Drosophila melanogaster: one gene and its partner. The protein of the gene in region 1 interacts with the protein of each later gene in a pairwise test. Each region holds a gene or a part of one and is shown on either strand. Other genes may lie near its edges.

Evidence for each region.
Region 2: the proteins of Gs1 (region 1) and CG8568 interact in a two-hybrid assay, tested with the Drosophila melanogaster proteins (one large-scale study listed by BioGRID).

The regions. Positions count from the first base shown.
Region 1 is NT_033779.5:126,286-142,428, forward strand, and holds Gs1 (glutamine synthetase 1), read left to right. Parts: upstream 1-5,791; 5' UTR 5,792-6,197; coding exon 6,198-7,397; 3' UTR 7,398-8,187; downstream 8,188-16,143. Other genes in the region: CG3164 (uncharacterized protein), read right to left, coding at 2,515-2,657, 4,223-4,266; ovm (oven mitt), read right to left, coding at 12,410-12,913, 12,971-13,051; CG31975 (uncharacterized protein), read right to left, coding at 13,186-13,402, 13,456-13,669, 13,829-14,648; CG31974 (uncharacterized protein), read right to left, coding at 14,845-15,055, 15,111-15,324, 15,377-16,143.
Region 2 is NC_004354.4:17,442,043-17,459,123, reverse strand, and holds CG8568 (uncharacterized protein), read left to right. Parts: upstream 1-6,580; 5' UTR 6,581-6,795; coding exon 6,796-7,081; intron 7,082-7,988; coding exon 7,989-9,982; 3' UTR 9,983-10,134; downstream 10,135-17,081. Other genes in the region: CG43658 (uncharacterized protein), read left to right, coding at 1-903; p-cup (presidents-cup), read left to right, coding at 10,423-10,719, 10,805-11,197, 11,499-11,974, 12,069-12,214, 12,285-12,589.

The DNA of each region.
Region 1 (16,143 bases):
AGTTCGCGTTTTGATATGTCTTACGTCAATATCTAAGTGCCGCCGCAGCTATCAAGAAAGATATTGATTGCATTGGCTTTTGGACGAGCAAGTGTAGAGCCGATAGGTAAACAAAATCTGCAAAGTCTGACAATCGAAACACATAGCACGGTCAATGGCCCCATCACGTTTTTCTTCGTCCACCTCCATATATAGTATGACTTATGCTATTATCGACAGAATTCCAACAGTTGTCAAACAACCGCGTCCATTACTCAAATTTTATTAAACATCCAACATCAACAACGGACAACTAATAAACAAAGCGGCTAAAATTCGTAAAAAGCCAATTGCACTTTAGTAACGCTTGTTTAAAAATAGTTTGACTTATTCTGACGTATATTCGCAGATGCTGCCTAAATGGAACTGTTCAGATGCGGAAGTGCCTTATAATCATGGCATACCTTTAAAGTTTAAACCAATAGTTTTGTACAGCAAGCCATCTGCTCTACGGAAAATGCTAATATACCCGTTTTCATGGGGGCACGCTCTTCGACTGCCGGCTCTTAATCAAAAGATGTATTTACTATTGAATCGACTTTGGACACAAAAGCGAGCTATGACTGGTTATAGAGCTTCTGTAAAGTGACTATTACGAAATAATTCATTTTATGTTTGTCATAACTCCGATTAGTAAAGTACCGTGACCCGCTCAGAAGTGAAACTCAAATTTATTAAGCTCATGCAGGGACTGTAAATGTTTTATTCGGCGACTTACTTAATACGTAGACTTTAAAAGCTGGTAATGAATTCCAGCTGCCAGGCAGCGACTAGCAAGTCGTAACCACTAGGTACGCAATGTCTCTCATTGAACTTACTTGCTTGCCAATTGATGTAATAGCACCAAAAGTGGGGTCACGCTTGAAAAACTATAGTCCAGCGCTAAGGCCAAATCGTAGCTTTGATGTTTATGACCGGATTGGACAACAAGTGGAACCATTCAGGGCTCCTAAGAAAAGGTTACGCCAAACTTGCAACAAGGGCACAGAAAGTCGCTTTCAGAATTTATTTATATCTGTTTTAATATAGCAGCCGAAAACGTTAGCAGGCACTTACTTCATTAATTGTGTTTACTTTAAGTGGCATAGTTAGCCAAAATCAGCGCAATTTCCATCTGTTGCCTCACTTCCATCTTATATTGTATACATTATTTTGGCACATAACTTAGCACACCCCAGAAGGCGGCGTGCCATCTGCAAATCTTTCGGCTAGGTGGGGCACGCTCACAGGGCAGTGTAAATAAATCTGTGTATATTCGCTTATTCTGAACGACTTAATTGAGTCGGATGGCCGACCTTTGAGGTGTGCAAAGTTCAGGCTGCTGCCTTCTCCAATTAGTTTTGCACTTGGCTGGCCTTGGGCTTAAAAACAGGCTTTGACAGTCCCTCAATCTTAGACGGGATTCACGGACTATGTCCGCCGTGAGGCCAGCCATCCAATGCGACAACGAGGGGAGTGGGTTTCATGAATGAGCTTTTATAAATATAAGAATAAAGCAGTTGTGCACGTTCGCATACCAAACTAATGGAATATTATCGCTCGGCCATCATTACTTATTCTGAACGGCCCCACCGGGGCACTGCATATTACCACAAATGTGTTTTCACCACCACACCCGACTAAAGCTAGCTATTGGCAGTGACTAAATCCTAATCGCTCTGCTAACACAGAAAGCACATACCGCCGCCATCAGTCTTGACTTCCTCAACTATAACATACCCGCTACTCAATTTCATAATCCTTTTTTTTTTGGCGGATCAGGGGCAGTCTACGAGGAAAGGGTATAAAAACAATACCTCTCCCTCTGGCACGTCATCACAAATTGTTTTCCATAAAAGCAGTAGATCCAAAAAAAAACCCCATTGTGCTCCACCCATGCTTTAAAGTAGATACACTGCTACGTGAGAAAAGTGCGAGTACATGGCTCCTCGCCTTTTAGATGCTATGGCATCGAACCAAGTTGTTGACTGTCCCAATAGCGAAATAGCTTGTGTGGGCAGTTACTCCGCGGCTACTGGCTGATGATTTTGATGTATTTAGCAGTGCTTATCGCGGTGAAACCTAGTGAACTTTGGCCAGAGCCGCCCTTGTGAAACTGGGAAATGAATTTGACGAAGAGACGACGGGTTACATATCTACTCAGCCACAACCCGAAGTTCTCCGTTGCTCACAGTCTGAGTGTTGATACTGCGTTACAGCTGCTAAAAGAACAAAGAAACCAGAAACCAACACAATGCGAAGCGCAGCTAAAGCAAACAAGTAAAACCCGCTAAAGCCAGGGAAGTGCGTAATAGCGACAGAGTACTCCGGAGAACTAGCTCAATAACACATGTGCGGAGTACTACTAGCCAGGACCGGAAACAAAAGCTCTAGGGTGAGGTGAGAGCAGGCGCGGGAGGTTCAAGATCCCGCTCTCGTGCTGCCGAGGAGTGCAGCTTGATATAGAGAGAGGTACTAGACAGTGGAAGTACTTACTGCTCCGGTTCCCCTCCTTGACGCGGTACGTCAGGTTGTGAAAGGCCAGGTCCACCGCTGGTCGCTTGGGGAGGTGCTGGAGCGTCTTTGGCTGGGCGGGTACTATTTGAGCTTTCAACTGACCCGCTCCGGCTGTGCCCAGTCTGTTGTCGTTCAACAGATTTGCATTATCGTTCTTAGTCATCTTGTCAATCAATCAACCAGGGGTTAAAAAGCAAAATGCAACCACTGTGTTGTGTGTGTATTCTTTGTAAACTTTAGCACTGACAGCAATACTGCAGCCCCTGCTGCCCTTCGTTCCCGTTTGGTTTTTCGTTCGCGTTCTCGATTCGATTCCACCACCGTCTGGTCCGGTGAGAGAAATTTTCCACCCGTCTGCTCGAAACGGTACTGCCGCTTCTCAAATATTAGGACTTCACTCGCTCGCGCCGCGATCGCAACTGAAATAAGCAATTGCGGCAGTGGAACAAAGGCAGAAATTTAGGCAACCGCTGACAGAGAGTGCCATCGCATACTCTCACAGCCCCAATGCTTTACGTCTGTGGTTAGAGTGGGACGACAATAGAAGCACTACTTCTGGTGGGGATTCTAGTGCGATTGAGAGGCACTGCGGGTTGGCTCTCTCTCAAAAGCCAGCGCATTCTTCTACTAAGTCTTGAATGAATTTGGGAAAAGCCTATAATCTGTGAATATTCCTCGATCGGCGGACCCATGTATCTCGAAATAAAATACCACTAACTAATTTCGAGGAAAGTCTTTACCTTGAGGAAGGTCTTTGATTCCCAGTCTTGTACTTTGATTGGTTTATCAGCCTTTTATAGTAGTTAGTCCTGGAAGCTAAGGTTCTGGCCATTGGTTTATTCAATCTAAGTTAAAAGTTCACGGCCTCGCTCATGACTCATGAGTTATTGGAGGGGCTTATCTATGGGTGTCAATCTACAGCTGATAGGAGTTTTCAATGAGCCGATAAGGGGTTGTACTTTGTCATTTCGTGTTTTACGTAAAAATAAGTTAATCGGTGCCGTAATTCGTTTAAAGGAGCTCTAGTACGCTTTTTAATGGTTTGCTTACGCGACATTTTACCTACATTTTGCTTTTCCCTACATTTAATGTGGCATGAGGTCATTTGTGGCTATGGCGTGGGACGACCTTACAACTTTGCCCCAGAAACAGTTTTGTGGTATATCTGAACGCAACAGTTAGATGTAGACATTGCTGTAAGGCTCCTTGTTGGCATGCTTTTACGATGCTCCGGTCTATATTTTGCCCAATCTAATTGGGATTTACGGATTGCACTGGGAGTGCTAATAACGTTTAGTTAAACCGGTTATTGTATATATTGGGGCAAGTAAAAACGTAATGAATTGACCAACAAAAGGTATTTTCCCAGTACAAACCGCAATTTGAGATATTATTCCTAGTTCGGTTTCTGGGTTCAAATCAGCATACAGCACTAAAGTTATGCAGTCGCCTTAAGATATGAAAGAATAATGTATTTCCACTGGCAATTTCCCGATGACTATTGGCTTGGAAATTTTTTAAAGCTTGTGGCTAATCAAGTCACGGAGATGTCAACAATTGGCAGGAATTGCAAACCGGTTGTTCTACACTTGTTGATTTCGTTTTATAAACGGGGGGTGTGGTATATTAGATGTGCCAACTAAATGTGATGCATTTTGCTTGAGACCCGCCTGATTCGGCTACTTACAGATTATTATTTTCCAAAAACTGCTTCCAACTATACTGGTTCATGGTGCCGTAACTCAACAGCTACTGAAACCATCGCTTTGAAGCAACAAGTTGCCTTCGCGAAAGCTAAGTCGCAGGCAATAACGAATAGGCAGTCGAAACCCAAACCGAATATAAGAATTAGCGATTTTGTATTTGGTTGTTGCACATCGGGTGTAAAAATATGTACACTCTGCTGGAGGGAAACTTTCGTAGTTTCTTGCGAAAACTGAAGCCGGCCAACTAGTGGAAACGATGCCACGTAACTGGAAAAGCGTAGACGGCTATATGGGAATTACTCGGGTCTATGGTGAAAAGTGGCACTCACACATTGGCACATAAAAGTTTCCTCTGTTTTCCTTGTTTTCTTTGTTATGCCCACCTGAAGCTCTCCCAATATGAGCCGTCCAAAAAAGCTTGCTTTCCCGCCAGAAACAGAGTTTTAGCTTTATTTTAACATTAATCCTATCTGAAATATACTCATCCGTTCTTCAGTACTTTCCTCTAAGTTACGAGGCAACCAACAAATAATTGGAAGACATATCTGTGGTCTCGGCTTTTGTGCGACAACATGCCATTATGTAGGAGGGAGTGGGCCAATATGCGTGGCTTGATGAACGACGGCCTAGGACTAAGTATAATCTGTAACAAATAAATATTGAATATCCTCCACACAGGATATTTAGATCAGAATTTACATAGCATTTAAATTTCAACGTTTTACATACTCAGCCTAAAAGTTGGCTACACTGTGTACTTATACTGCTATTTTAGTTATAGTTTTAGTTAGATATATTTTTAATATTCAGAACGTCGTATGCGAGACCCAAGCCAGGAATAGGAACATTTAGTACCGAATTTACATATTATAAACAAATCATTATTGCTTCATTTAAGGCTCTATTAATGCGGTCCACCACAGAGTTTATCAAATGCCAAACACGAATAGACACAGCTGATACGGTGCTCCTTGCATTCGCTATATTTAATTGTATATAGTGAACTTTGTACCAGGCGTGTATTCAAAACAATCAGCCAAAGAGCAAAATGGTGGAGGTTTTTACGAAGAGATTACGAGAAATGAGAGAGTGTTGTAATAAGTAGTACTGCTGAAATGCATCTGCATACTGCGTAACCTATCATAGTTTCTGAAATGAATTTATCAAAAATGTAGAACTTAATTTGTGGGTTCTAAAGTGGGCCATGCACATAAATGGTGCAGGTGTTCTACGATGAGAATTACTAAAAACTTTTGTTTTTCATTTGGCGCTAATGCAAGCTACAAGTGCTCGAAATGCATAAATGAGCTTATAGCGTGTGCTCAGTAACGGGGCTTTTGGCTACCCGACTAGCCTCGAAACATAAACATTATGGGTCGCATTGCAGGTCTCTCTGGCTAGTGGCTGCGGAGCGGGTGCTCATATACCGCCAGTTTTGAATGCTCTCTGGGAGGCCTTTGTCTGTGCGTCGGCGTCGCAAACGAGATAAAGAAAAACCCGAGGCGCGCGACGAAACAACGAAAAAAGTGAATGCTGTCGCGCTAACTGTGCTCACAAGACTTCCAAACATCGAATTGGTCGGGTGTCCCCAACAGTCGCTCCGCAGCCCCTGACAGAAACAGAAACGAAAACCGAAAGTACCGCAATCCAAAATTACCAAAAGACCTGTCCAACCAGCGACTGTTTAACCAATCATATAACTGTAAAGTGGAAAAACGAGCAGAGCACGGTAAGTTGTGCGGAAGACTGCGTCTTCACTGGAAAAGTACCCCTTTTTTAACTACCTCGGAAAATCAAGTGCAAGGAAAATAATTACATAAAAATTCATGAGAAAAGCAGAGTGAGCCAGCATGCCACCAGCCCTTGCCCTTCCTGCGCACGTCCTCACATTCGCCAGCAATACATAACTAACCGTGTCCTTTTGTCCTTCTCGCCGACTCCAATCCAAGAACCAAGATGGCACTACGCGTGGCAGGACTCTTCCTGAAGAAGGAGCTGGTGGCTCCCGCAACACAGCAGCTGCGTCTGCTGCGTACTGGCAATACCACCCGCTCCCAGTTCTTGGCCAACTCCCCCAACACGGCTCTAGACAAGAGCATTCTGCAGAGGTACCGCAACCTGGAAACGCCGGCCAATCGAGTGCAGGCTACTTACTTATGGATCGACGGTACCGGCGAGAACATTCGCCTCAAGGATCGCGTTTTGGACAAAGTACCCAGCTCCGTGGAGGACTTGCCGGATTGGCAGTACGACGGCAGTTCCACCTACCAGGCCCATGGCGAGAACTCGGACACCACGCTCAAGCCACGCGCCATATATCGCGATCCCTTTAAGCCGGGAAAGAACGACGTAATTGTCCTGTGCGACACCTACAGCGCCGACGGCAAGCCGACGGCGTCCAACAAGCGTGCCGCGTTCCAGGCAGCCATTGACCTAATTAGCGATCAGGAGCCCTGGTTCGGCATTGAGCAAGAATACACTTTATTAGACGTGGACGGACGTCCCTTCGGCTGGCCGGAGAACGGTTTCCCAGCCCCACAAGGTCCTTACTACTGCGGCGTGGGAGCTGACCGTGTGTACGCTCGCGATCTTGTGGAGGCCCACGTCGTGGCCTGCCTGTATGCTGGGATCGACTTCGCCGGCACCAATGCCGAGGTAATGCCCGCGCAGTGGGAGTTCCAAATTGGTCCAGCCGGGATTAAGGCATGTGACGATTTATGGGTGTCGCGATATATTTTGCAGCGCATAGCTGAGGAGTATGGCGTAGTGGTCACCTTTGACCCCAAACCGATGGAGGGTCAGTGGAACGGAGCCGGCGCGCATACCAACTTTTCCACAAAGGAGATGCGTGCTGATGGCGGAATCAAGGCCATCGAGGAAGCTATCGAGAAGCTGAGCAAGCGCCACGAGCGGCACATCAAGGCATACGACCCCAAGGAAGGCAAAGACAATGAACGGCGCCTCGTGGGACGTCTTGAGACTTCTAGCATCGATAAGTTTTCTTGGGGCGTGGCCAACCGGGCCGTAAGTGTGCGAGTGCCGCGTGGCGTTGCGACGGCCGGCAAAGGATACCTCGAAGACCGGCGGCCAAGCTCCAACTGTGATCCCTACGCCGTGTGCAACGCCATTGTTCGCACCTGCCTGCTCAACGAGTAGGCTGTGAGCGGTGCAACAGATGTTTAATTTTTTGTACATTATGTTTTATGGAACTGTGAAGCGTATCCGATCATTTGGTTATATTTACATTGAACTGAAGCAAAATTTAGTTTGCTTGTGCAAAAAAGACAGGAGACCGAGGCACGAAAAGCGTGCGCTTAGAATTTAAGAACGTGGGTGGGTGGCAAGAAGAACTAAGCTAAAGCGAAATTTCCTTAAAGCGATGGGGCCTCATGAATACTTTGCCATATATCTCACAAACTACGTATATCTATCATTGCTTTAATCTAAATAATAAAAAACATTGTACTCTACGTTAATTTTTTGTACCTTTTAGATCAAACAAACATTTTGGGATCCGACGTTGAATTCGGTCAACGCCATTTTTTGCCCTTAACTTCTTGAACGCACTTTTTTAATAACTCCTAAGAGTTTCTAAATGTAAATTTAAGAAGGAAATATCACTGAAATCGGACGATATGCATATTAATCATTCATATCCATGAGCACGAATACACATATATGTGAAATATGTTTATAAAAACCAATTGTTGATTAGAAGTTGTTAAAAATAAAATACTAAGAAATTAATTTATGTATATATATTGGTACATATGTATCTCACTTTACGGATCTGTCGCTTCACTTTGTTCGGTAGCATTTTACATCATTTTACTATATGCTGTTATAATATAAATGTCTAAATACTAGCACTAGCAAAATTAAAAATTCCATTGAGATACATAAATACATTTTGAGTAAAAGCAGAACTGCGTACAAAGCAAAACACATTACTACAGACTATTTTATTTTCTCTTTTCTGGCGAGCTTTTGAACAACTGTTGTTGCAATGACTGTGAAAATCAAAGTTTTAAAATATAGAACAGCTTGCTTGTAAATAAGAGTGACATGAGGGCACAAAAACTAGCTAAGGCAAGACCTTGTTTTTAATGGAAAGTTTTCCACCACAAACAGCTGCCTGACACTGAAAGTATTCAAAGACTAAATCTTAGGGTTTCCGTTCAGAATATGTGTGTTTTTCGCTCAACTGACACACACCCTCGTATATATGTACATATATGTATGTTTGTATGCTTGGATGAAAGATATGGCTGCGAAGGAGACAATGCTTCCATATACTCGTATATTCCCAATGGCAATATACTGCGTCCAGCTGATAGGGCAGGGGTACTGCACTCTGGGATGGCAGGCAATTGCATTTCCCTGCAATCTTATATTGATTGAGTATAACCGCGAACTCAATCGCTTCAAAGGGGGGCTATTAAGTGTGGTTATTATACTTAAACTTACAAAATAAATCTTAAATTTGAATTAAATTAAAATAGCAGATACTGCAGTACTACTAAACTGATATTTAATATACATACATATGTATGTATCTAGTATGTCTTCGAGCATCTAAAATTGAGTGTGCTTTTTTTACTGCACTTTGCATGTCCGTTCTCGCAATTGTTGACATTCTGAGGTGCAGTTAGCGGTGTTTGTTTGGCTCTGCTGGGAGCGGATTACGGATTACGGGGTATGCAAATGTAATAAGGTTAAGAGGGAGAGATAAGGCCATCCAGTTTATACAAAACAGTGTTAAATACACAGAGATAGTTCGACCAAGCCAGCCAGCCGAAAGAGGCACGGAATCATCCGTAGTCAGACCATCTATAGCTTCGTTAACTCATCTTTAAATGTTCGAACGCATTCCTGTGCCCAATTCCAATTCGACTATCTAATATACCCGTTTTCCATTGCAGCATTTGTGGGCACAATGTAGATACTATAATATATTTTAAAATCACATAAACAATCGAATCAAGGCACTAGCCTGTTATGGCCACAGAACTCAATAGTTCCGCACCGTCGCCCAAAAACCAGATTATTAATTAATTGAAGCAGGTTCATTGGTATGCATGAAACACGTTCAAAGATGTCAACATCATACAATGCAGGCCTGAGGAGATCCAGTTATGCTGCCTGAGACCAGGCGATTTGCATAAAACGGAATGATAAGCTGGACACCTGATTTCGAAACTATTGATAACAAAATGATATTGATATATCACTGAATCAAGTGATCAAAATAATATATTTTTGCTCTAGATAAATGTAGGCAACGATCGACTGGATAGAAATATAAGCTTCACTTACTCTCCTCACCTTCCTATAAAATCTTCAGTTCGTCAGTTCACTCGGTTAAAGTCCAAGCAAACTGATAAGACAGTAAGGCCACGAAGTTAATCTTCCGGCTGCAAAAGCCTGTCCAGCGTTTACCATTATCTTTTGTACCGTGCCTTTTACTTCTGACTCGGTCAGAAAAATACCTCCGCCTGGGTAGGGTTATCAAAGGGCAATAAATCATACTGGCTGCGGTTGCGAAAATAAAATAATGTTGAACCATAATTGATCAAATCAATTCCATATAAAGAGATGAAATAATTTTACCCAGACCCCTGCGAATTTTATTTAAATTACCTTAAAGTTGGGCACGATTGTGGAGCGTGATTCCTGAACGGCCTGTCACAGTAAACTCATCTACTGATCGACTCTTGTCTGGCCAATTGCAAATTACCATTTTCAGAGCCTTTAACTGGGTCAAGACATTCGCTCGCCTTGCAATGGGAGTGGTCGGAAAAAGCACTGATAACAGCGGATTTACGGACTCAATGCAGTACGTAATGTGACAAGCGGCAATAAACGGGTAACAAAACAGAGCGAATCTGTTGTGGAGCTGCTGGTGAAATAATCGTTGCTGGGGGTGCTGTTTATTTTTATGTGATGTTTCTTTTGGAGCGCACCAACTGCTTGTTGAGATTATGTTTTATAGCGCTACTTTCAGTCCGCGCAATCGTAAATGATTGCTCGATCAAAATATGTGGTCGCACTCTGGAGAATTATAAAACCTGTCAGGTACAAGCAGATACATAATATATATAATATAATCCTATAATTCTATGTCCTGTGACCGATGTCCAGCAATTAATCGGTCACGTAGCGTCATTTTGGAATGAAAAGAAAAAGAAAAGATTTGCGGCCGCAAATAGTTTACTACGCAACCGATTTTTCCATTTTATCTATGGCGGGTGTCGATACGGTGGGGTTCTTGCGCAAACACAGGCAGCCAACAAGTGCTGTCTTTTATCTGGCCTATTTATCTAATTTCCCACTGCTCACGCCATTCGCAATGTTGTGGTCGTGATGAGCGCCTATATTTAATTTGCAGAGCATATAGATGTCTGGAACTGAATCACCCAACAGCAGGGTCGGACTGCGTGTTCTGTCTTAGTTTTCCAAAGAGCCCAAAGATCTTCCTCCCCCCATTTTATGCCGCTTTTTTTTTTTAGAACACCTCCACTTTACTTTCTCTGCCACCACACGCGATTCCCAATATTTGCGTCATGGGCCCACACGCGTCTACCAAGTGATCTGCGATCTGTTCCGTGCGTTTTGGCGCATCGCATCAGACAAAGTTCAATCCCCCGATTCTTGGGGTAATCACCGTAGCCAAACCGATGACGGGCATATGGTCAGGCAAAGGTCGTCTTCTGTGGCACACATTCATGCGCATTACTTTAATTTCATTTTATTGTTAATTGGTTTGTGTCAGAACGGCGATTATGTTTCTAAGTTATCAGTAAAGCGTCCCGCTTTTAGTTGATAATGAGATTAGGATCCATTAGCAATATTCAGTCTGAATGGATGAGAGTCGCAGAGATAATATATGTATTAAAAAAAACTTTGTTTTGAGAAAGTCGTTTGATAAGAGCTTTTCGATAAGCCGGCAGAATTTTACTGGGCGTTGTTTACCCAGACCTCATTGGACTTAAATGATAAAATTAACTGTACATATGTATGTGTTTTCTTTGCATATTATCCAGACAATTTAAGAGAACGTATTTTCTGTTTACATAAAAATATATAACATTACGGGGCAACTGCTTGTTTCATGCCGTGCAGGCAATTCGAGTTCGTTCAACCGATGTCCATCTCCCTACACCCATTTTATTGGTCATTAGCGAGTCCGAAATTACATATTTGGGAAGACCTAGTAAAACCTTGTCAACACAAATTCCCCATTTAGGCCGGGCCTGTTTTAACAGATAATTAACAATAATTAATTTGGAAAACTTAATTTAAGGAAAAAGTTATTACAAGTAATTTCCCTTTAACAATTGCATAACAATTTTGAAAGGGATGTAAAGTGCAATGCAATAATTTAATATTTTAATAATATCATAAGCACACATTTTAGTTGTAATATATGTGTTACATTATTATTTATGTTACATTTATTACAACAGTGTAGTTCCTACTTTGTAAGTTTATTAAACTTATGAAGCAGATATTTAATTGAATTCCAATAATTAACCCAAAGAGATTTAACTATTATTGCACGTATTCTTAGACTCCAAAAAATTACAAAATGCAAAAGGAAAAAGCTATATAGATATATAAATATATATATATATATATATGCATCTCTTGTTTGTAACGTACATTATGTTATAGCTGATGACTTCGGTGAACAGTGCAAAGGCTGCGCCTTTTACTTTTCCATCTGTAAAAAAAACTTGTGCCTGAAGTTAATATACCTTCTGCAAGGGTAAATATAAATGCCCGTTAGTATGCCACAAAACAAACACCTGTTGGTAAAGTATACTACACTGATATGTAGAATTCTCGTATTTTTTTGATCACTTTAACAGTTTGTGGAAATTATATTCAGAGGTATAAAGTGTAAAGTATATATATTATTGATCAACAGCTGAGTCGATGTCCGTCTGTACGTTTCTGCATAAAATATTCTCATAGTGCTATCTTCCAGAAGATATTCCAAATGTCTTCTCTCTATTGCAGGTTGAACACAAGCCGTATCAGACTACTTTATCTGATATATAGCTGCCATAGAAATAGTAGGAAAAATAATAAATTTGTATTATTACTGCAAAACGTTGAATTTTTTCTTGTTCGATTTACTTGTGCTGATTTATTTCGGTCGATCTTTATTCATTGGATCCACAGTACTTTTTCACAACCTTTCCAGTCATGAAGTAGGTGGACAGCGCCCTTAGTCTGCGGCCACGTGAAAGTTCTTCAAACAAGCCGCCACTCACGGAGAACGTTTGTTTCGGTTGGTAGAGAAGGCTCAGAAGTGGGTTTTTGGGGCTTACGCGCATGTTGATCATGACGTATGTGCCTTTGACCAGAGGACAGCTCAGCGTGTAGTTACTTTGCTTGAGCATGTTGTCCTTGGCTGGCTTAAAAAGCGGTACGGAATTGAAGACATTCTGCAGGTCGCACAGTTTGGTGGAGGCGTTGTATATGGTGCGAGGCTTACCCCGACCGGAGTGCTGAAGTATGAGGATGCGAGACACCGGTGAGGCAATCTCCTCGTTAATGGTGGTTACTGAGCCGATGCCAGTCTGATTCGAGAAGGTCATGTTCACAACAAACCGAGGTCGGTCATCCGTCCAATTGGCATACGTGAAGGTCACATAATAACAGCTCTATTCGGTTATTCAATATTAGTTTGAGACATCCGGAGACCTTTCTTGAATACAGACCTCCTTGCTCCTGATCTCACTGAGCTTCAGCAGAACCACACAAGTCGAGATGCTGAGAATCGTTACCCAGGTAGCGCTCATGATTCCCAAAACTGACTACTACTGTATTCACGTTTATTTTCTAAACCAGCTGAGATAATAATAAAATAATTAGGGTTCCCCATCAAATTGCCATTAGTCAATTACAAATCTCGTTTTCGTATCAATTTATTGCCCTAGTACAATATGTCAAACTTTTCGGCCAAGTTCAGAATTTGGCTTAATTTGCGGCTAATACGCTCCGATCCCGTATTCTTCAGCACGTCCGTAAGCTTGGGGCGTTCCTCAGCCTCTGAATCGCCGATGAGCGCGCTGTCAGCCAATATAAAGCGCGTCATAAAGATTGCGTGGGGAACTTGTATGTACGCCACCCTCTTCACTTCCAGCCGGAACCTGCGAAAATCCGACCTATTCGTACTCAGTTATATATTGATCATTTATCTTACTCTTTAAAAGTGTGAACCTCCAATTTAGCTCCCACACGTCGCAGACAACGCTCAAAAGCCTCATAGTAGGCCTCTAACATGTGTTCGAACTCTACCTCCAAGATAGCCGTATCAACGCTTGATAGCAAAAACGAGATTATGTCATGCACCACTGAATCGTACTGTGCCGTCTGAAAGTCGATAATTTTCAGCTCGACGGGTGTTCCAGTGGGCCCTAAAGATTTCAAAGAATAGTACTTGTTTCTTATATTTTAGAAATTTTGTTATGCTAACAATTCCAAAGAAATAATTAGTTTTCCGCTCTTTTTATGTAAAATCGTATTATTGAATGTTATTACGTGCTAGGGCGATCATTTGTGCTAGTGATACTAACCGTAACGAAACATTATATTATTTATCCAGAAGTCACAGTGTATAATGCTGGTAAAAGGCCCATCGGGTCTATCTGGGGCGGCTGCTAAGAATTCAAAAAACTGGTCCGACAACTCTTTCATTCGGGCTACAAGTCTGGAGTCGTTGTTGGTGGCTCGACGAATGTCCTCCAGAGTCTCTGCCTTCATTACCGACTTCCACTCGGGCGCTTCAGCATGCCAATCGAACTTTTTAAAGAACGGACGGACCTGTTCCCGGAACACCTCTGGTCTGAGGATCCGCAGAGCTAGAGACAGGGCGTGGAACTCGGCCATATATTTAAGTGCTAGCAACGTGTGGGCCAGATCGAAAGCTTTTAGCCTCTGGCCGGAGACGTAGCCACTGCTACGCAAATTTTCCAGCACCAACACGGCATTTTGATCTACCTTTGATGAGTTGGATTCGAGGGATTCGCGACAGCCATAGAAGCGAGGGAATCCTTTAAATTGGCTCTCGTCAGGGACGCCAGCTTCATCTTGAAGGGTGGCCAGAGCAGGGGCCAAAATCTTGTAAACAGCGTTCTCAGTGAGGCATGTCTGCTCAGGCTGGAAAAACTGCCAGTACTTGGGGTCGATCGGAGGCACTTTAGCCACCAGCTGCTCTTCAAACGACTCACCATTGGATTTCTGCAGCCGGGCATGAATTGCCAGGAGAACGCTTCCGTAGTTATCGCCCGGTTTCGTCAGACTGCTTGTGTGATAATTAAGGAGGCGGGACCCTGAAACGTGGGGTTCAACCACTTCACTAAGAGCTCGAATTTCGGGCAGCTTGTCCACACCCATGTTCTTCAGCTTGCGAAAGATTGTGCTCCAACTGAAGACTATAATCTTCCGGAAAGACTAAAATGAATTCTTTCAGTGGGCACACAAACAAGGCGCTAATTCGATGCCTGATAACAAACACGTGTAAATAACGAGAATGTGATAAAGGTGACCAGCTTTATGGTGAAATTTTTATTTCGTGACTGGCAAAAATAGATCAGTAAAATATATTAAACTTTTTCCCTAGTCGCAAGATAGCCTCAAATTTTGTCACAATAGTTTTTGCACCCGTGTTCTTTGTGAGCACCGAGAAATCCACGTCTTTATAGTCTTTAGGAATCGTACTGTTATCAGCCAGTATAACCTTCATCATAAAGATCGCGTGAGGCAACTGCACGTGTGCAGTTTGCTGTACCTCTTCGAGAAACCTGCAACAAATTCGATGAAAAAAGTCATCCCATTGGCTGCGGAAACTCGTCTTACAATTCGTATGTGTAGTTGCTGGTGTCCACATTCACGCTGCGCAAGGTCTGAATGAAGGCGTTGTAATAAATGGTCAGGAAATTGTAGAAATTGTCCTCGAGAACATTTACGTCCACACTTGAGAACAGCACAAAGATGATATCATGCACCAATGATCCGTACTGCGCGATTTGAAAGTCAACAATTTTCACCTTGAGTGGAGTGCCTTCCTCACCTGACAAAATTCTTAAAGTATTAATATAGCCTGTTTTGCTTTAAGAACTAACCCCTCATACCGTATTTTAGCATCATATTGTTGATCCACAGGTCTCCGTGCACGAGGGTAGTGAATGGGCCGTCGTCCACATCGTTGCTAGCTTGAAAAGCCTGGAAAATGTCCAGCAGCTCCTTGACGCGATTTACGTCCCGTTCGTCGCTAGTCACCAACTTTATGTCCTTTAAAATTTCCTTGTTCATTATTTCCGTCTCGGCCTGATCAATATTAGAGTTCATATCGAACTTCTTGAAGTATGGCCGCACATACTCCTCGTACACCTGCGGTTTTTTCAGGCGCAGGGCGATAGGCAGGGCATGGTATTGGGCCAAATAGTGCAGAATAAGCACAGTTTCTGCGAGATTGTACGGCCGGTGTCTGTTACCAGGTCGATAGCCGCGCGTAGTGACGTTCTCTTGGACCAGAACGGCATCCCGATCCACTTTTGTAGCGCGGTTGTCCAGTGATACGCGGGAGCCGTAGTATCGCGGAAAGCCGTCAAAAATTTGGGCGGGCAGAATGCCTGACTCCAGCTGCAACTTATCCAGCTCCGGCGACAGATACTGGTACACCGCGTTCTCCGTAATGCAAGTCCGCTCGGGTTGGAAGATCTGCCAGTAAAGGTCGTTGGTGAGGGGCGGCAACTTGGCTATCAGCGGCAAATCCCGAATACCACCGTCTGCACTGCGGATTTTCGCTTGGACAGATAACATAATGCTGCCATAGTTGTCCCCGGGCTTGGTTAGGTAGCTAGTGGAGTACGAGTCCAGCGTACACCCT
Region 2 (17,081 bases), on another chromosome or scaffold:
TTACCCCGTGGCCTGGGAGCCGCGGCAGCCGGCAGCGGAGCAGGAGGAGCAAGTGCAGCAGGATCGGGAACAGCCAGTGGTAACACTTCGCAGCATGGCGAGCACGGTATCTGCGACGTTTACGGCCTGTATGGCAAGCTGATATTCGTGAAGGAGGACTACGATGCGGAGGAGGGCAATCAGGGCAACCTAATGGACATGATGTATGAGGGTATGAGACGCTCTGATCCAGAATTGGCAGCTATACCCGGCAAGGTGTGCACCCTGGATAGACGTTTGCGCATGAAGGCATCGCGACCAAGGTCGTTGGACCTCTCAAACTGGTCGGTGGACTCCAAGTCCTCCAGTCTGTATACATCGTCGGGCAGCGAAGAGAGCATGGGCATCCGGCACTTTGGCGGACGTTCTGTGTCCCGCAACAGCAGCAGTGCCAGCCACAAGACATCCGGCACAGGCAGTGATCTGGGCAACATATCAGAGAACGGCCTCATGACCACGGCGGACATCCATCACCATCAGCAGCAGCAACAGCAGCTGAATAGCTCCGCCAAGCCAGATGAGATGAGCCGACTCGGCGCAGGGAACTCGGGACTGGACAAGCCAGCCGCCGCGGTGGCCACTTTAAAGCGAAAACAGAAGCAGAACTCCAAGCAGCAGCAGCAACAGAACGCCGACGGACCAAGGACAGTGATCACCCTGATGGGCGGACGCGGCTACTGGCGCCAGATGTGGTACAACGGGGCGGGTGGTTCGCCCAGCCATAAGAACAGCAGCTCCGGCGGCGGCGGAGGCAGTGGCTCCGGATTCAGTGGCCAAACAATGCAGTCGGGTAATCCCAGCTGCTCACCGCTGACGGCCAACTCCAATGACGCCCACATCGTTGTCTGGGAGAAGAAGTTATAATCGCAGGAGCTGGTGTGCTGCTGCACCCTTCAGCAGCATCCCCACCAGCACCATCCACCGCTAACCGAGCTGTGGCGCCGCGTGGGCGAGCAGCATCAGCAGCACCAGCAGCTGCAGCAGGCGCAGCGTCGTGGCCGTGGACGGGTCCGGTTCCGGGGATCCTTTATTCAGCGGGATCGCAGTGCCGGCAGCGATGGAGGAAGCGGTTACGGATCAGGCGGATTGTCAGGTGCTGGCGGATCGGGGGGCATGTTGGGTGCCAGTCTGAAGCGACTGACCAAGCTAAAGCGCGGCGGCAGCCTCAAGGAGTTCTAGATTCGCGTGTACATTGTTTTTCGAAATTTAGTTTGTAGCACATAGACTTACGTTTAGGCTCAAAAACCGGCGGCCACCTAAATCACTTGATTTCTTTTGCGCTTGTCGTAAGCCGGAATATCGAATATATTTATTAGCGCCCTGTTTACGATTCCAATCCGAATCGGAGAACCATTTAGCCCCAAAGCTCCAGTGTTTGCTAAACAAAATATTTTCAAATGTACAGATCTTTGGATAAACTGTACTGATTTTATTTTTCCCATTTCAAAACTATCTTCTTGTTGTAGAACCGTATATACATATGGTTTATAAATTTCATCTATTCGCTAAACTTTAATGTTGTTGTAATATTTTGCAAAACCATCATTTTCATGGAGGTTTCCGTGTAGGAAAACGCTTTCGTTTTGATCATTTCCAATAATTTTGGTATCGAAGTTGAACATCGTTAATTTCTTAGTTAATCACATATAACTGCACTTTTTCAATATGAATGCTTAAAATCTGCTAGCTTTCGGGAAAAGCTGAGTTTGAATCAGATTTGGAACCTGTAGTGGGCACAGGGGTGTATATATAGCGAATGTTTCTGAAGAAACCTAGTGTTTAGTCAAGTGTTTTCTCAAACTTGAGCAGCCAACTATCTCTTTTTGTTCTCGATTCTTGCGTTAGAATGTGAAACTTAGCCCTAGGGAAATGTTTTTTTTTTTTCGTATGTAGTTCATAACTGAATATCCAAATATACAAGTTTTTTTTTTTCGTTAGTTCTGTAAGCATACTATGTTACATAGGATATAAACTAGATGATAAGCGATGAAGCACACACACAAGAGAGCGGCCAAGCCAACAAGCTAGGGGGAAATGATGTTGTCTGTACAATAAGAGATAAAGCAAAACAATAATGCATTGTTTAGTTATCCGGGAAACTGTCGAAGGAGCAGGACTTGTGGATGGAGTGCGACATGGTAATGCAAATGGTTATTTGGCCCATTCTACGACCATGTGCAGCACTTCTTATCGGTTTTTCTCAAGCTTTTCGAAGCGAAAACTCTGAGGCAGCTGGCAGCACTTTCCTTATGTATGTATTATAACGAAATTAATATTTAACGTACTTCCCCTTTATGGATAAACCCCATTTGTAGTACTCTAATGCCTGTATTTGTGAACATTTACAACAAGCAAACAAGAAATAAAAAACAAGTGTTTTTTTGTCTGTCAAGTAAACTTAAATATACAAAGGTAATGAAGCGAACAAGGAATATCTTATATACACACAAAAACATACTTATATACGATTTACATTTATGAAATATACATGTGCGTGTGTGCAACATGAATATTTAGCTAAAAATAATAAAAAAAAAAAAACAAAATAACAGAATGTTTTATCGAAGATATTTTTTGTGAACGATATCTTTTGGATACACATATAGAAGTCAGGCATAATGCAATTATGTAACTTTTTATATCATTGTGCATATTTACACACACACACACACACACATACGCGTTAACGCACTCATCGACATATATGAAAATAATATATTTACCTATATATCACACATATTTACGGGTTCCCCGGGAAACCCAAATGTACATGTACTTGGATGGCATATTATTCGGCATCGTCTGTGAATTATCTATCCACAGCGAGCCAGTTGCTTTGTCGGTGTTATACAACAAAAAAAAATTAAAACAAGAGCATTGTATGTATTCAAGAACAAAGAAAATGTATTAAAATATAAAAAAAATATATATATTATGCGTTTTTATTTGGTCTTTGAAGTCGTTAGGTTCGATTTCATTATTACATATTTGGCGATTGTTTGAAAAGCGCGGCTATTGCTTTAAAAATATGCAGCATAATTTTGGGGCGTTCCTGTAATAAAGTTTGACAGTCACTGTTAAATCTTTGGTTGACCATACAGTTTTACAGCCTCAAAAACGGAAGACCAACAATGTAAATTTAATTATGCTGTTTCATGATACTGACGAATTACTATCAAGACTTTATTATTAATTCAAAAGATAACCAATAAAAAAATATAAAAAAAATAAATATAAATACAATATTTTCGAATGACTTTTTTATAATCGTTTAAATTAACGATCATTCTAACTACTCAATTGATTTCCAAAACTACTTAATTATGTTTATATTTTCTGATTTTTATAAGTGGAAGACTTTGGAATGCAAATTTTAAAACACGTCCATTGAGATATGAAATTTCGTATTTAGGCATTCATTTCGTTGTTGTGGGGAAGAAAGTCTTGTTTTATTCTGAGAATTCCTTAACTGGACCAAGCTCACCCAAAATTTACAATCGTTTATTGACCTCTTTAAAATAATATTTTTTTATATAATATTATATTTGACTGCTAATCGATGGGAAAATTTTTTATCGAATTTAACAACATATGGCATTTGATATTAGGACAACTATTTTTATTGTTGTGTTTTTATTGTCACAAAATTTAGTGGTATTTTTCATAAATAATTTTTTCACAACATTTTATTGCCAAAAATCCTAAATATTTTATTTTGCTCATAGCCCTATTAGAACTAATAACTTGCAATTTAAGAATGGTATGTATTTAAACTTGATACAATTAGCAATTTATTTAAGCAATAATTTAAGCCGGAAGCTCACTTTCAGCTTGTTGATTTTTTATGCACAGTTAAGCTTTAGTTGCATCTATGCACTTTAAATAACCTCAAATGACAATGCACATTGAAGGGCCAAAAAGCGAAAGTTTGTAATGCATTTATAATATTGTAGCTAAAAAGGAAATACCTTACCAAGTATTGGATGCATTTAAAATGGCAGTGCGGTGTTCCCTAGAGATTGCGTAAGTTTACGCTAAAGTTGAAGCCCAAATTCAAACCCTGCGTTGCAAAAGAGCTTAAAGTTTGTCAATTTAGCTTATCTTGTCGTTGTGTCGAAAGCTTGAAGGATGTTCTGAGCCAGGATACCAAGCAATTGGAATCCGCTGAAAGCTCCTACCCGTCAATTGACCCACATATTTCATTTCAGTTATATATTTGAGTCTGGTCGTTAGTTTTGCGTAAGGGCCAGAGAAAAAACTCGCCGAGAAAGACTCGCAGGCGTGCCAAATTGATGCTATCAGTAATGAATAATAATGCCCAATAAGCGAGTCGGCTGATAATGACGAGATGGCCCATTACATAAACGAAAGCACATTGCACCGCAGCTCCCAGCCAGTCCAGCTTATTAGCGTTAATTGTTGGCGACACTTTTATTTCCACTTCCATTTTCAATTTCATTTTCACATCTATTTCCATTTTGCTTTATTCCGCCGCCCGCCTTTGAATCGAAATAATGATTCGAACTTGGCAAGTGTCTGTCCCCCTTAACGCTTAACGAGATTGCAGTTCGGCTGACTCTCCTCCGCTGGCCTTTGGTCATCGGCCATTGGCCATTGGCCATCGGACACCGGCCACCGGCTGATAAATGAGTCTGGGCCAGACATTATGCAATATTGGGGCCCTAAGGCGATTGGGACCGGTACCCGAAATAGCCACCGAAATACGCTGCCATTCAAATGCAGTGATGCCCCAATAGTTTGAAATATCTCTTTCATAAATATCTCTTTTATAAACATTAATGATTTGTTAATATAATATCATAGCTTATGCCAAAAATCATAGAAATATTTTGTTGTTCAGATGCAATGCAAACAAAGAGGTTTTCAAATTTGTTAATTTATCTTCTTGCAACGTATTTCACTTCTTGAAAACAGATACAATTTTCCGTGTAGTTCGTTATTGTTGTTAAAAGAAAGGACTTTGCAGTGCCAGAGATTGTTATAAAAGGGTTAAAAAAGCCCAATTTGCTGAAATAGAACCATCAAATGGGAATCGCAACAATCGAATACAAAATGAAATGAAATGAAACAGGACGTGTTGCCCAAAGGACTGGTTTATTTGCTTGTTGATGCATTCGAAGAATGCCATTTTGGGGAAAAGGATGAACCAGGGAAGAGAATAAACTAGTGACATCCACAACGGATGCGGCAATCGGATCGATAAATCAGGCTTGTTTATGGCAACAGCAGCGGCCATAACCGTAACTCCCGCCGCCGGCAATGGTGCGGTGCCCAGTTCGAAAAACGAGTGGAGTGGAGTCGAGTCGAGTGGAGGGTTTCGGTTTGTCCATGGGGCCATGACCTGCCTCAAGTGCTTTGCGTAACAACAACAACACCACGCAGCAGCAGCAGCAGCAACAACAAATGCGGCAGGGAGTGTGGAATTTTGTTGTTTTTGGCTTTCCCAGCCAGTCACGATCGCCGCAATTTTCTTGTCACTGTCACCCGAAATACGACAAAAAAACAAAAACCGCTCGTCGCACGCAACAAAGCAAAGCAGCAACAGCAGCAACATCGGCTTAAAAGACAAATAAACAAAGCGGCTGCCACAGTAAAAACTGCAACTGCACGAACAGCAGCAGTAACAGTAACAGAAACAGTAACAACAATAGTAAAGAGGAATACAAAAAAAAAAAAAAAATGGTTGCAGCAGCAACAACAGAAATTGGCGATTCGCCGCTGCTGATAAGAACTAAATCGTCTGAGATCAATGCGAATATGGAATACCCTAATCAGGGAGTTAGGATATGTTTAAACAACTATGGATTTTTAAATAAAAATAATAATATTTTTTAAAAAACAAACCATGCTGCCAAAAAAATTCAAGTCGCAAAGTGAAATAAATGCAAATCATAAGAAAAGTTTTAAATTAAACCAAATCACAAATAAAATAGGATCATAAACTTAATAATACTAAGAATATATATTATTGGGTTATATACATAATTATTATAAAGAATTTATATATTATATATTTTATATTATAATTATATATTATTTAAATATCTTGTTTGTTAAATATATATAATACTTTATTTAATTTCAACTGAATATACATTTGATTATGATACTCAATATTTGTTAGAGTAGAATTATAAGGATTTTACTATTTGAAGTTCTTAAGCATATCGGAATGTACAAAGCTATTCACTGGACTGTGCTACCCTTTTTCGAGTAGTGTACAAATGGTTTGCCCGCAAAAACAGCAAACAGCCGCAACGAGCGACAATTTAACGAGGCTGCCGCGCTGCCGTTGGATATTGCTGCTGCTGCGGCTGCTGTTGCTGTTGCTGCTGCGTGGTGCTGCTGTTGCTGCGGTGTCCCCCCAGCAGCAACATTTTGGCCTCTGCCGCGCTCGCCGTCGCAGTCGCTGCCGTCGACGTCGACGTCCACTTATTCGGGCGGCGGTTTCCATTTCATTTTTAAGCTAACGCTCGTCGCGTTCAGCGTTTTAATATTTAATTGTCGTCGATCGCGAGCGGTTGTCATTGCTCCACTGGAATAATAGTTGAATTGCCATTGCCATTGGATTGCGATTGCCACGGCTGTACCGTTACCGTTAATCGTGAAGTGATCCGGGAATTCGCCAAGAGAATACCACACACAATACCATACCTGAAACGCGTTGCAGCACCCTTTTTTGTTCAGTGTTCATCAGTTTTTTGTTCAGTGTGCAGTTTGACATCCACAGTGGCCATGATTCCCTGGATTTGCCTAAGCGCGGCCATTGTGCTCATCCTGTGCCCCCTTCACACATCCTCGCGCAGCTACAGCAACGGTCTGATCTTCTACGAACTGAAGACCCACCGACCCTACCTACCGCCCACGGTCAGTGTGTCCAGGGGCCGAAATCTGGCCAGCGTCAAGTACTCCGAAAAGGGGTCCATCTGGTCCACCTTTGGCCAGCCCTGCGAGTGCAGCGGACCCACCTGCGGATGTTGCGCCGGTCTCAAGGTCGATCAGTACCGATTCGATCAGAAAGGTGAGAAAGCCCATGCTTCGTTAGCTATTAATGGGGAATAGAATATTGCAATACTTTAAATGTTTAGTAGATTATTGATTAGGAGATTAGTAATATGAAACAGTGTGACATTCGAGACATTATGAAAATTACAACCTTAGTTATAATTTCAAATTCAGAATGTTAAAAATATTTCTCATTTCTTTAGAAAGAAATGGTTTTGTATTGATGTATATTATTATGGTTTGAAACCAACAAGAACATTGATTACGAATAACATGTATTATATCTACGCGAGAAAGGATATGCATTTAGTAGATTTTTTGCACAGTGCACTTGTTATTTATTTGGTGAAGAAAACCATTAATGGGTTTTCATTTTCAGCATGCTATTTAGCCTTAATATCTTAATATACACTAATGGGCACTAGGTTAGTAATCGCCGTAGGATCAATCCGTCGGCCATATGCTTATGCATAAATTGGGATCTTTGCCGTCACTTAGCCTGGTCGGAATCGTGGCTCCTGGCCTGCGGGTGGTGGCCACACATATTTGGCTGCGATTTCGGCTGGATTCCAGGCCGATTTCCTTGGCCAAGAAACCGATCTTGGCCGCGGGTTGGCGGCGCATGCCGGAGACTACAATGCGATCGGTGGTTTGGCTTGGTTTCCATTTCGCTCCGCTTCGCTTCGTGACATGCCAGCATTTGCCAATCAAAATGCCACAAATTGTTGGCGCTTCCAGCGGTGGCCACCCCCTCATCGCCTCATCCACCATCCACCATTCAGCACCCAGCACCCACCATTTGCCTGGGATTCGTCGACAGTTTGCCACCCGCCACTTTCATTCATTGAATCGAATCGTTTCATTGTTGTGCCTATCTGTAATTTTGACTCAACGTTTTCTTTCCATTTTGCCTCTGTTTGCAGTGTGCGCCAACGTGAGCTTCGTGCCGCATCTGGAGGAGGCCCAACTGGAGGTCTTTCTTAATGGCAGGCCCTCCTCGAAATACGGAATCTCGGTGCGCAATCCGGCGCCCTTCTGCATTCCCGTCATGATGGGTGTACCGATGGCCATGTGCGTCCAAATGACCGACGTCACAGTGGTTGGGAACAACCTAAACATGTGCATGGACTTTGTGGTTCGGATGGCCACCACCGATCTCTTCGAGATGCATTTCCAGTGCATGCGAATGGGTCTGGATGGTCTGCAGTATGTGGACAAGAATGGCAAGCCCGTACTGCCGATGGGAGATGGTCAGAGCGACGATCCGGAGGAGTACGAGTACGCCGAGCTGGAGGATCAACCGGAAGAGTATCCTTATCAAGAGGATGTCAAGGAGGAGGCTCCATCCCAGGGCTATCAACCAGATAACAATCAGCAGCAGAAGAATACAACACTGACCACTGATCAGGTTAAAGAGGATGAGATGGAGAAGAATCAATCAATGGGCTATCAACCTCTCATCATAAATAATCAAGCACAGAAGATTGAGCCTCAATTAAATCTAGAAGAATTAATCTACCAACCTCAAAAGAATCAAACTCTAAGCGAGCCAGCTAAACAGGATCAGGTAGATAAGGAGGAGGATACACAAAATGAAGAATCAGGTTATCAAACACTAGGTCAAATTAAGGTTGAAGACCAAAAAGAAGAAAAGCCTGCAGAAAAGCAGCCAGAGATTCAACAGCCTTCAGAAAATACACTGGATGAAGATGAACCGATGGGCTATCAACCCCCGATGGCGATGGTTCCCCAAAAAGTTCCAGAAGAACAGCCTCTAGCTGAGGATCTTCAAGAAGAGGAGGAGAAGACTTTAGAGAGCGAGGGAGATCACCAGGAGGACGAAGAACTTGAAGATGTGGAGCCCCTGCCAATCGAAAGTGAAATGCTAATGGCCAGCGATCAGGCAGAAGAAGCACCTTTCGAAGAAGAGGCCGAAGAAATGCCAGCTGAAGACGCAAAAGAGACGGCAGCAGAGGCGGCGGAGAAAGAGAAAGAGACGGGGACGGAGTCTGAGCAAGAGACACCTGACAATGACAATGGTTATGGCGAGAGTGGCCTGAGGCCAAGTCAGGTAATTGAAACAATTACCAATTCAATAAAAGCCACTGAAGCGCCCACAACAACAACAACAACAGCCACAATAACGAAAATACCAACAACAACGACAAAAATACCGACAACAGCTACGACATTTAACAAGCCAAACATTGTTATTGATGGCACAAACAATGGGGAAAAGACAGTAGAAGCAGAGGGTGAGAAGACAGTAGAAGAGCCAGAGAAAGAGGGCGAGACATCTGAAGAAGGGGAGGCAGAAGACGACGAAGAAGACTCGACAACAGTGGCTGTTGAAATGGAAAATGATAGTGATAATGAGATAAACGTGGACGATGATGATGAGGTGGAGAAAAAAAACCGGGTGAAGGAACCCCCAAGCCAGGTGAAGAAGGAGGAGAAGAAACAGGAAGAGGGAGCGGAAGAAAAGTCCGAAGAGGGCGTGCAGAAAGAGGAGATAGAGCCGGAGAAAGAGGTGAAGGCAAGTCATGAAGAAAAGGTCAATCCAAATGACACAGCCGCTGAAGAAGATGAAGATAACGAAGAAGAAGAAGATGGGGAGGATGAAGAAGGAGAGGAAGATGAAGACGACGAGGAGGAAGAAGATGAGGAGGACGATGAAAAGGAAGAAGGCGAGGTAGACGCTGCTGAAGAATCCGCTGAAGCAGCAAAGCCCGAAGAAAGCGCTGTGAAAATTGATGAAAATGGCAATGGCTATGAAAATGCCTATGCAAATGCGAATGAAAATGCAAGTGGAAATGCATATGGAAATGCAAATGCGACGCCGGCAGCGAAGTCGTTGTCCCGACGTCGCCGTCTGCGCACCCGCCGCCTGCCGCGCCCCCTGAGGAAACACCATTAGGCCCCACTCCTTAGCTTAATTTATTGTAATTCGTAATTGTTAATGAATTGTTAATGCTAAACGTTGAAGCCTGTTAATTAATACGTATTTATTGTATTTATTGAAACCAACTCAAAGCCAAACTCAAGCGAAATAAACGTTAATTGTAATTTAATCACTGAGATTCCAAGTTAACAACAGGTATTTTTCGAGGCTTGCCTGGTTGAAATTTAAGCCACAACTCCTGGTATTTTAATATCTGTATTCGGTGGTTAAGCTGCCCTGAAGCCAAATGCAAAATCGAAAGCTGCTAATAATAGTTTTTTCACTGATCTCTACATTATTCCCATCATTTTGGCTTTGCTCCACCAGTTAAACTTACACTTTTGTTCACTGGTTTCACTTAGTATCTTGCCAAATTCCAGTTGCGTTTGCATGAAATTAGCCGTACAAAATTCAACATGTCATGGACGAGTGGCCTGTACAAGTCCTTGCTCCTTCGGAGCCAGCAATCGCTGGTGCGTCCGGATCTCGCCCTCCTGGACATCCAGATATCGAAGCGGGCCATTGAAACGATGTTCGGTCATCGAAGGGAATTGAGTTTCAATCATTCACATACCGCCGACATCATTGCCAAGAAGTGCGAAGAGCTTTTCAATGCCAACGAATTTGAGAACGCCCTAACCACGCTTTATACGGACGGACGTCCCTTTGGCGGACAGTTTGCCCACGGGCGGTTCGAGATGATCAAGCAAAGGGTGAGGGTCATTGTTAATATCTCACTGTATTTTGTTAATAGATTGCTTAAAAGAAAATAGCTTTTGAAATATCACCTTCCATTAGAGCCTCGCCGTCTTCGAAGACACCTTGGGCGAATCCCTGCGTCCCTTTATGCATCAGCACAGGGACGTCCTGGAGCAAATCAACCGACGCCAGAAGGAGCTGGCCGCCCATGTGTCCCGCCCACTTTGGAAGAAGCTGCGCGACCAACAGCAGTGCGACGTCCAGAGTATCATTATCAAGGAGCGGCCGCAGTTGACCTTACTGGAAAAGGCCCGCCGGCGGGCGAGTGAGAGTCTGTACAACCACAACTACTTGGGCCGCAGCGCCGTCGATATCGCGCTGCTGCGTCAACTGCGCAGCGACCGCAACTTCCTCGATCCCCTGAGGCTTGCCACCACGCCCCCAATGCGCAAGCTGACCAGAAGGCAGTTCACGATTGTGCGACGGCTTATGGTGAGTCCAATTCAGGGGAAAACACCACTTGGCAATTGAACTTTTTCAGGGAAAACCATCTCTGAGTCGAGAACAAAGTTTAAAGAGGGAATACTCTAAATATAATATAAATTGATTAACAGTTGCAGTTAAACAATTTGCAAACATGTCATCTATAAACATGTTTAGTAAGATTAAATGAACTTTTAAGAGAATCCTAGACTATATACTTACTTGCTTTCTAATTTTACTAAACATATTACTTTCGTGTAAATCAAGAGCTTTACTAGCATTTCCCACCACTTCTCATGAATTCACTTAGAAAATGCTTCAAGCCCGAAATCCGTTGTACAACCGGCGGTACGTGCAACAACGGCACGGTCCGATTGCGGACCAGGAGCGGCGTCGGTGGCAGGAGATGCACCTGTTCCATGCGCAGTACCAGACGCGACGCGACTGCATGCGGATGCTGCACGAGGTGCACAAGCGGCGCCGGGAGGGCGATGTGGAGAAGCTGTCCGATTACGTGGAGAACATAATGTCGGGATTCATAGAGTATAAAACCCATCGCACGCTGCCCTGGAAGTTTGAGTTCATCAACGAAGTCTACAATATCCTGGCACTGGCCTATTGCGACAAGTGCGCGGTGCCAGCCAATGTCGACTTCCTGCAGGCCCAGAATCGACCCATCTTATACCTACTGCGGACGGAGAAGCTGCACGACATGAGCGTACAGTTCGGGGGTCCCAACATCTATGTGGAGATCGAGAAGGAGGATGAGCGGCACAGCCGAATTAGGTGAGTGTAAGGGAAGCTGTATCCAAGCTTTTCGAATGTGCTCTTCAAAAACATACATTTTATTTTTTTTTATATATATATTTCAAATTTTCAGCCAGAAGCTAGAGCAACTGGAGAATCGGCTGCGTCACTCCCGCTTTGCGATCGAGCGATCCTATTTGTTGTTTGAGATCGCGCGCTGTCACTTCCAGGAGTCGCGTTTCGACAAGTGCCTCGTGGTGGCCCGCAAGGCCTTTAACGGTGGGTTACATGCCACTTAACACCTTGTGGCGCCTCCATTAACGCCCACCTTCTGCCCATTAACCCCCAGAGGCCCGCAGTTGCAATTGTCTGATCTGGCGATTCAACAGCATCTTCCTGGGCTGCCAGGTGCATGCCGTGCTCAATCGCTTCGAGAGGCTAAAGGAATCGCTGGCGAAGGCGAGTCAGTTGGCCAGCGAACTGCAGGCGCCCAAGCTGGTGGCCTATATAGCCATCTGCATCAACGTTAATAACTACGATCTGGCATTACAGCGGATCCGGCAGTCGGATGGGAACAAGCGAAAGTCCCGGAAACGAAGTCCCGTCAGCACCATCACATCGAATAGCTCGCAGGGATCAATGAGTAGCACATAGTCTAGTTATTTTATTTGCTCGACCAGTTGCTCTTAGCTCTACATTTCACTTCAACCTGATGGAATATAAAGCTAAGAGCAACAAGTTTAGAGTAATTTAGGCGCAAGTTTTTTTTTATCATTCAATATGATGATACTCTTTTTTACGAATAAATGTTGAGCAATGGTTTTAAGTCCAGTAACGATAATTTTCGAGAGAAATGCATTTCTATGATAATTTTTTCTCAATTTAGATATTTATAGATAACAAAAGCTAAAATAAAGCTAAAAACTGGTTAAATGCGAATTCTCCCACGCCAGCACTTGGAAACAAAAGTGTTGGATTTTCACAGCATTTAGCGTTGGCCCCAAATGTTGCAATGGCTAAATTAGTAAGCGAAGCGCGGGAAAAAAGAGGTAGCAAAAAATAGCCGAAAGAAAGAAAGACAATGAAAGGGGGGCCATTAAGGCCGTGAAAAACAATAACCCCCCATAATCGGGCAATATTATATAACACTTAAATGCCAGCAGCTGAAATTATTTAATTATGTTGCCTTCTTCGTCTGCCTTCCACGGCGGCGATTATACGACAATTATTACAATATTTATTTATAATTTTTAATTGCTTTTATTTTTCACATCGCTCGCGAATGCCTTTTGTTGCGGTAGTTTTTTGACTCAATTTTTTTTTTCTTGTACCTGTTTTTTGTGTAAAACTTTGCATAAGCAACTAAGCAGGGGCTGGGTTTTCAGGGGGGGGCAGCGGCTATTACTCTTCATTTGTATGCTAGCGGGAGTGTGGGTGTCCGCTTTTTTTTCATTATTTCGGTTCGCTTTTTTGCGGAAAGAAAGTTAGCTGACAAAAAAAAAAAAAAAAAAAAAAAAACTGAGCTGGACATGGGGCAGCCGCCAATTAAATGTTTTGCTTTTGCCGCTTTATCGTTTTTGGCAATAGCGCAACAAGCCATGCGAAGTGTCGTCGAAATGCGACCGAAAACAATAAATAAGCACGAAACAAGCAAAGTCGAGCAAAAAGCGAGCCAACAGCTGCATTTCAATTGAATTTCCAGGCAGTGGGTCCAATATTGTGGCTTCCATGGGGGAGAAATTGCAGCTATTAGTGGCAATCTTGTACGAAAAGTTCGATACAAGTGGTGGAATTTGAAAATTTCATCAAAGTTGCTTAACTGCGACAAGTGGTGGAGTTGCTTGTATTAACTAATATCTACATCTTAACAAAAAAATAAAACTATAAAACTATTATCCAATGCTCTATCAATTTTTCAATCATTTCAATTTGGTAAAAGTTTGTGCGCAAACCTCTTTGAAAAAATATAATTTAAATTAGTTAAAAACTAATGACAAAAGTTGTGTAACTTTACAATTACTGTTAATTACCTAATTTTCCATGCTCTTCCTAATTCCGTATACTTTCTTTGTACTGCCAGCAGCGAGCCAGTTGAGCTGCACTTGTTGCTATGTGACTTGTGACCTGCCGCCACCTCCAGCCAATTAGCCAGTACTCATACGCCCTGTTGCATGCATAAACAGCACTCCAAATCAAAGCCGAGGTTCGGGCCAAACGGACGCCAGAGGAGCAACGGGAAGGAACAATTTTCTGCGGCTTAAGCTCACACTAAAATCCACTGCAAAATAACGGAAGCGAGTTCTCCTGTTTTTACAACATTTTAAAACATAAAATTAAGCCTGAGACTAAATCCACAGTGAATTATAGTAATAGTATTGAATTATAGTATGAACATTCGGTGTTTAAATTGTTAATGCAAAATAAGTATGTTGTAAAAAAAAAGTAAGGAACATAAGTTACATCCAAATATGTCACTGATTTAAATTTTCTTAGGTGTCTATTTTGCCAGTGTATGTACATAAAAAACTCATATGCACAGGTGTGGCAAGCTTGTGCAGGTGCAAATTGAGTTCACCTGAACGTTGACTTTGTGTCAAATGATATCACACGGAGATGTAAGAAGTCACTCAACGGCAGGCGAGGGTGAAGGACCACAAGGACACTGCCGCCTGACCGCCAAATACGGCCGGACACTAGGGTAATTAGCCGGACTTTCCCTGGACAGAGTGGCGGTCAGGTGTCGACTTTATCCAAAAGACAGGACTCAAGTCGACGCCTCGAAACGGTGGTGGACGCAAAATTGGTGTAGCTTCGCGGGTAGCTTACTGTGCGAAAAATGAAATTCCAAACGTGAGTATATTCCAACTTGTTATACAAAAAAAATATAAATATAGAAATGTAATCACAATATAATATTTAAATTAATGGTTTTCGACTTGCCCACGCTCGACTTTTCTGCCCCCGTGTGTGTGTGTGTGTGTGCCCAAACAGCGGGATATCCTGCCACGACTGTGTCCGCCGCTCCCTTGCATCCTTTTTGCGGGGCACTCGCAACTCGGAGATCCGAGATCCGAGTGCTCGGAGCCGAGTTGTACGAACTGCACGGCTTCGGGTGGCAGCATCATTTCCATGTGGCTGTGGCGGCCACCAGTCGCCGGATGGGCGCCTCAGTTCGCTTTTGTGTCGCCTTGTGGCAGGTCGCCTCCGCAGTCGGCTACTTGATATTCGATACCTGGTAGCTGCGCTTCGCCGTCGCTCATACGCCCCGTTGGCCCGGTACGAGAAGCACGCACAGAACGCTAGGAAAGTGCGCCAACTTTCGGGCAAACTGAACTGAATTTGAAAGTGCGGAAGGATAGGCGTTGTCTGGCCTCTTTGGAGGTGAGCGATTGTCATACCCGTTCGATTTATTATTTATAAACAGTGCCTCCGTTTTGCGGCGAAAACACTTTGCATAGTTTAGATGGGCCAAGTCGCCAAAAGCCATTAGCATGAATCTTTCATTTCATTACACTCTATTTTTGCCCTGGTCCAGAAATACGAATTATTGCAACAAAGATTTCCACTCCACATACGGCGTTTTTACGATTTTGTGAGCCCCTCGAGAGTCTTTATCCTTGTTTTCACCAAGTCTTGTCTGAGTTATTTGAACGTTTATCCCACGCGTGGTTAAGTCCTGCCAATGCCTTTGGCTAATACCCGGATACACTTGGCATGGCCATTACTTTGTCATTTAAAAGGGGCCTAGGTTTTGTGACCACAAATCAAAACAGGGGACTTAATAACAAAACATATGAATAGCAATAAAATGGGGATCTTCGGTAATCTAGTAAAGGCTATGAAACATAAATTAACAATATTTTAAGCCACAAAGTACCATTTTAACATGTAAATATTAGTTTTGTGTTACAAAATTAGAAGGTAATGTTATAAATCTATAATATAGTATATCATTAATTTGAAATGCAGGACTTATGCATTTCACATTTCTACATTTTAATTTGCAGTAAATGCTGAAGCATACCAACATTATATTAATTATGAGAGCTTAGGGTTATTGTCTCTTACTATTAATTGGTGTACACGTTACTTGATTATATGTCAACAAATATATTCCTTTATTCAAAATGAGCAAACATACTTATTATGAGAGGTAGGAATTGCTTAATGAAAGATTAAAGGCACAATTAATGGAAAATTCTTGGTATTTTAGAGGGATAATATTGTATGAACGGCAAACAAGTGGGAGGAGGGGCTTATACTATCAATGAATGCCAGCAATAATAGTTCCATTGTCACTTTCAATAATGGGAAGGACAATTGCAGGCGGCCCACACGTCGTATACTTAATATTTATGCCACATGGCTGCATTTTCTCATATTCGCACTCACAATTGTCGGGGCTCCGTCAGCGTTTCGGTAATCAGCCAGGTGAATTGCAACGCAGCTAACAATGCACCAGCCACGCCCCCGCGGCCCATTACACCCCATCCACTCCTACTGACTGATTGGCTCCAATGCGAGATGAAAAAGCTGCATAATGTCGATCCAATCATCCGTACCAGCAAGCTAAACGTGTGTGTCAGTCGAAAGGTGGCGGGGACTTGCAGATTGGAAAATGCAGAAGGAGGGTGATCGGAAAATGCTGAAAAACGCAGGAGCAGGCGTTGCCGACATCATGAAAAATTCATGACGCATGCCAAGTGATTCAGGGCGCCACCTGTCGAAACGCATGCATAATTGAAAACTGCATTGGCATCAACTGCAAAATGGCCAACGGCAGATGGAATCTGGGCAAACAGCATCCGTATCACTAGGAAAAGCCTCTATTAAATCATGTATCGCTGCCTTTTACCAGCCCATGTACATATATCAGTTTTTGGGTAAAGGGAAAGCAAAACATAGATCAGTATTATTCTAAACAACAAAGCTGACTTAAGGACAACATTCTTAAAATATTGCCTCAAGAAAAGACAAGAGTAAAACAATATTTCACAAATTGGAGGGTACTAGCACTTCGTTTATTTCGTTCTGAAAATTTTCGTATTGAAAATAAATTAATAAAATCATGAATATCCTTACAGCAATGTGTATGCTAATTTAGGCTGACGTAAAAGCTTACTATTATTCTTTTGTAGAATAACAT